Saccharomyces cerevisiae S288C: one gene and its partner. Each later gene encodes a partner of the first gene's protein in a complex. Each region holds a gene or a part of one and is shown on either strand. Other genes may lie near its edges.

Region 1 (2,530 bases):
ATGACCGAAGGAATGTTGTTATAGTTGACATGACCGTGACCAGTTTTCAACATTTCGACAGCTGCAATACCTTCCTCTTCGGCTTTGTGAGCCAGCATTGGACCAAATGTAACATCTCCTACCACTTTAATGTGTGGGAACTTGGAATTAAATTGGTCATCAATGACTAGGCGTCCCCTTTTGTCTACTTCTAATCCAATCTTTTCAGCCCCTAAGCCAGCAATGTAAGGTCTTCTACCAACAGCAACCAGCAAAACTTCAGCTTCCAAATTTTCTTGCTTATTCGTTTTAGTATCTTCTACAACAATTTCGACGACGTTCTTGTCGTCGTTTCTCTTTGCAGAAATAACTTTGGTGCTTAATTTGAAGTCCAAACCTTGCTTTTTCAAGAACTTTTGGGTGGCTTTGGCAACCTCGCCGTCCATAGATGCACCAATTTGAGGTTGAAATTCTACTACAGTAACCTTGGAGCCTAATCTAGAGTAAACTGAACCCATTTCCAATCCGATGATTCCTCCACCAATGATGGTTAATCTTTTGGGAATTTCCTTTAACGAAAGAGCACCTGTTGAAGAGACAATTTTTTCCTCATCTATTTCAATACCGGGGAAGGGTGTAACTTCAGAGCCCGTGGCGACTATGATGTTCTTAACATCTAGTATGTGGTCTTCCTTGACAGTGCCTTCCAACCCATCAACGGGAGTTACTCTGATCTTCGTTTCGTCTTCGAATGAACCATTACCTTTATAATAGGTGACCTTATTTTTCTTGAACAGAAGCTCAATACCTCCAGTTAATTGCTTAACAGCGTCATCCTTAGCCTTTTGGAAGTTTGCTACGTTAATTTTGATATCACCGTTGACGTCAATACCTCTCTTTTGCGCTTCCGTATGCATTTGGTGGAATAAATGAGAATTATTTAGAAGTGCTTTGGAGGGGATACATCCAACGTTAAGACAGGTACCGCCTAATTTGCCTCTTTTTTCTACACATGCAGTGTTAAATCCCAATTGAGCAGCTTTGATAGCAGCCACGTAACCAGCAGGGCCACCACCGATGATGACTACATCATGTGACTTGTTAATGGTCAATGTCCTGACTGTGGACGAAAAGGCACGCTTATTATTTAGGAGTGATCTGATTCTTAACATTGTGAACTGTTAGTATGTTCTTTGATGGTACGACAGAGACAATCGAACAAAACCGTATATATATAAATATACGTTATATGTATATATATATCTATATATATTCGAGGTGAGTCAAAGGGTACGAATTATCATCAAATTGTTTATTAGCATTATAATACACTAAGTTTCCATTAAGTTGCTCCGCGGAGACTTCTCGCCAATGAGGGAACAGCCGTTCGAGATGATAAAGTATTCTAAAAACGAGTCATCATTAAAAACGATTCACGTGATATTCACGTGCATAAACCATTAGTAAGTATATATTTTTAGTGGGATATATGAGGGTACATTGCATCATGACTATTCGTGGTAGTCACGCATACGTTTGTCAGTGGCATTGTTCGAGTATTCCTCTGTTCTTCATTTCCCTTTTTTCCTATAGCCTCGCCTACGCTCTTTCACGTTTGTGCTGATAGAAACAATGTGGTAAGAAAAATTAAATCTCTAAAGGTGCAATGAATGTATAAGAAAGTACAACGCATATAGAGTATCCGGCATAGGACAGGATTACGCAAACACACGCACAGATACAATGGTTTCTACCCCTGAACTGAAGAAATATATGGACAAGAAGATATTGCTGAATATAAATGGATCTAGGAAAGTGGCAGGAATTTTGCGAGGCTACGATATTTTCTTAAACGTCGTTCTTGATGATGCAATGGAGATAAATGGTGAAGACCCTGCCAATAACCACCAGCTAGGCTTGCAGACCGTCATTAGGGGCAACTCCATAATATCCCTAGAGGCTCTAGATGCCATATAAAATTATATATATATATATATATGTCGACCTCTATGTACTATACAGCAATACTATTTTCTAATTTGCATTTCCACGCCTGCGTTGCTAAACCCACATTTTTCATAGAATTTGACATTTTTCTCATCGCAATCTAAAATAATCTTATAACAACCGTAGTCAAAGCCGATAGTTACCAATTGATCAATCAAGAGCTTGCCCAAACCTTGGCCCTGATACTTGGAGTTTACTGCAATGTCCTCGATGTGGCCACATAGCCCCAGTTCATGAATGATCTTTCTTTCGATGATGATATTCCCCGTAGCGGCAACCGTCTCGGTGCGCTTGTCCACAATCACCATGGGGTTATATTGCATTATTTTTTTATCTTCGTTATCATTCCATACTGTGGCTTCATTCCAGTATTTTATGAGTTTGCTGAAGGATTCGGGGGTAATAGTGCCCACGGTGGTCAAAACCTTTAGCGTCTCAGTGACCTGTTCCAAATCCCCCTCTTCCATTCGCCTTATATAAAATCCATCGGGTAAGCTCATTATTTTATGTTGATATCCAGCTTCCGTTCGTCAACTATTCTCTC
Region 2 (2,545 bases), on another chromosome or scaffold:
ATGATGCGGACGTTGTAGCCTTGGTGAGCTAGGGCGTCCACCTCCTCAACGGAGCCATCCTGTGAGTTGTCATCGACAAAGATCAACTCGGTCTTCTTGGCCATTTCAGGGCTCATGCCGGCAAACAATCTGGTTGTTAAGGGTTTGATGTTCAGCTTTTCATGGTAAGCGGGAACGATAACAGAGTATTCGATGCTCATTGTGGGTGCGTGTATGTTTGTGTGTAATTGAAGCGATAGCGTTATTACAATAGCGGTCTATATGAGTTAGGAACACGTAAGAATACTGAAAATTTTTCAAATACTGGAAATCCTTTATTTTTCCACGCTATTTGTCATGCGAGGGAAATCCAGAGGCAGGAATAAGGAAGAAAAATAGAACAATATAAAGCAAGAAAATAAAAAAAAAATACGCGATGCGAGTGCTATAGAATGATATTGTATTACAGTAGAGGGCGTATGTAAATATACTGGTATGTAAGGGAGATGAGCACAGTCGTCTTAGTTCGGCAGCTCCCTGATGTACAGCACGTTATTGCAGCGGATGAATATCTCGCCCAGGGTGCCGTGCGAGACACCCGCAACAAACTCTTCTGCTTCGTTCAGCTGCAGGTTAAAGTAGTTGTCCGTGGACACGAGCGTACCTCTATATTCGGTGCTGTTGAACTTAAGCTTGACGCCTACACGATGGTTGACCAGGCCTTTGAGGAACGGCTTCGGGTTCACCGGCTGCATCGCGCTGATATCACTGCTCTCGCTCATTGTCTTGTTGTGTTGTGACGTAGTGTGTGGTGTGGTATAGTACGCGGTGCTGTGTGTGCTGTGCTGTTTTTGCGTTGCTCATAGAACCGTTGTTTCTTGCTCTTACCATCTCATGTTCATATATGTTGGGGAAAAGAGGTGGAACAAGAAAAGTTACCCGGACGGCAGAGCGGTTGTTTTGCCTGCTTTGCCATAATACAGGATGGGATCACACACCCCCCAAGCCATGCTACAACTTGGAAGAGTGCAATTCAAGTTGGTTGTCCTCAGTAGTTTGAGAGATTGCGCTAATTTTGTTTTATCACCGTTATTTACTGTCAGTTGAGATTTGTCGCTTGCGACGACTAGCCCGCCGCCTCTCGTTTGTTACAAAGGAGGAAAGTTCTAGCAAGAATAAAAGAAAAACACGTTTGAAAAAAGAAAAAAAGATACTTGTTGTGATCTTTCCACGTTCAGCAAGACACACAATTAACTGAAGCCAGTGTTTATCTGTCTGTCGCCTGCCTCCCCTTCCTCTTTTCTAGCCATGGACTTCGAGACTAATGAAGACATCAACGGGGTCCGTTTCACCTGGAACGTGTTTCCCTCTACTAGAAGCGACGCTAACAGCAACGTCGTCCCTGTGGGCTGTTTGTACACACCTTTGAAGGAGTATGACGAATTGAACGTTGCCCCATACAATCCAGTTGTGTGTTCCGGTCCACACTGTAAGTCGATTCTAAATCCTTACTGTGTGATTGATCCGCGCAATTCGTCCTGGAGTTGTCCCATCTGTAACTCCAGGAACCATTTACCTCCACAGTACACCAACTTGTCACAGGAGAATATGCCGCTAGAGTTACAGTCCACCACCATTGAGTACATCACCAATAAGCCCGTTACCGTTCCTCCCATTTTCTTCTTTGTTGTGGATTTGACTTCGGAAACCGAGAACCTCGATTCGCTAAAGGAGTCTATCATCACTTCTTTGTCTCTATTACCTCCCAACGCGCTGATTGGGTTGATCACTTACGGAAACGTTGTTCAATTGCACGATCTGTCCAGCGAAACTATTGACAGGTGCAACGTGTTCAGAGGAGACAGGGAGTACCAGCTCGAAGCGTTGACGGAAATGTTGACCGGCCAAAAGCCTACCGGCCCCGGCGGTGCTGCATCTCATCTACCGAACGCCATGAACAAAGTTACGCCCTTCTCTTTGAATAGGTTCTTCCTGCCCTTGGAACAGGTCGAGTTCAAACTGAATCAATTACTGGAAAATCTGTCTCCAGACCAATGGTCTGTTCCAGCGGGTCATAGGCCATTAAGGGCCACAGGTTCCGCTTTGAACATTGCATCTTTGCTTTTACAGGGCTGCTATAAGAACATCCCAGCAAGAATCATTCTTTTCGCCTCCGGTCCAGGCACCGTGGCCCCAGGTTTGATTGTTAACTCAGAGTTAAAAGATCCCTTAAGATCCCACCACGACATCGATTCTGATCACGCGCAACATTACAAGAAGGCCTGTAAGTTTTACAACCAGATTGCACAAAGAGTTGCCGCCAATGGACACACTGTTGATATTTTTGCCGGTTGTTACGATCAAATCGGTATGTCTGAAATGAAACAGTTGACCGACTCTACTGGAGGTGTGTTGTTGCTAACCGATGCCTTCTCTACCGCGATTTTTAAGCAATCATACTTGAGATTGTTTGCCAAGGATGAAGAAGGGTATTTGAAGATGGCTTTCAATGGTAATATGGCAGTCAAGACAAGTAAAGACTTGAAGGTACAAGGTTTGATTGGGC

Evidence for each region. The genes of interacting proteins can lie anywhere in the genome.
Region 2: SMX2 (region 1) and SMX3 share a complex: the UniProt entries of both Saccharomyces cerevisiae proteins name them as parts of the sm core complex.

What each region holds. Positions count from the first base shown.
Region 1 is NC_001138.5:101,977-104,506, forward strand, and holds SMX2 (mRNA splicing protein SMX2), read left to right. Parts: upstream 1-1,722; coding exon 1,723-1,956; downstream 1,957-2,530. Other genes in the region: LPD1 (dihydrolipoyl dehydrogenase), read right to left, coding at 1-1,151; GNA1 (glucosamine 6-phosphate N-acetyltransferase), read right to left, coding at 2,007-2,486. UniProt on the Saccharomyces cerevisiae protein: Plays a role in pre-mRNA splicing as a core component of the spliceosomal U1, U2, U4 and U5 small nuclear ribonucleoproteins (snRNPs), the building blocks of the spliceosome.
Region 2 is NC_001148.4:898,410-900,954, reverse strand, and holds SMX3 (mRNA splicing protein SMX3), read right to left. Parts: upstream 762-2,545; coding exon 501-761; downstream 1-500. Other genes in the region: DPM1 (dolichyl-phosphate beta-D-mannosyltransferase), read right to left, coding at 1-200; GTPase-activating protein SEC23, read left to right, coding at 1,288-2,545. UniProt on the Saccharomyces cerevisiae protein: Plays a role in pre-mRNA splicing as a core component of the spliceosomal U1, U2, U4 and U5 small nuclear ribonucleoproteins (snRNPs), the building blocks of the spliceosome.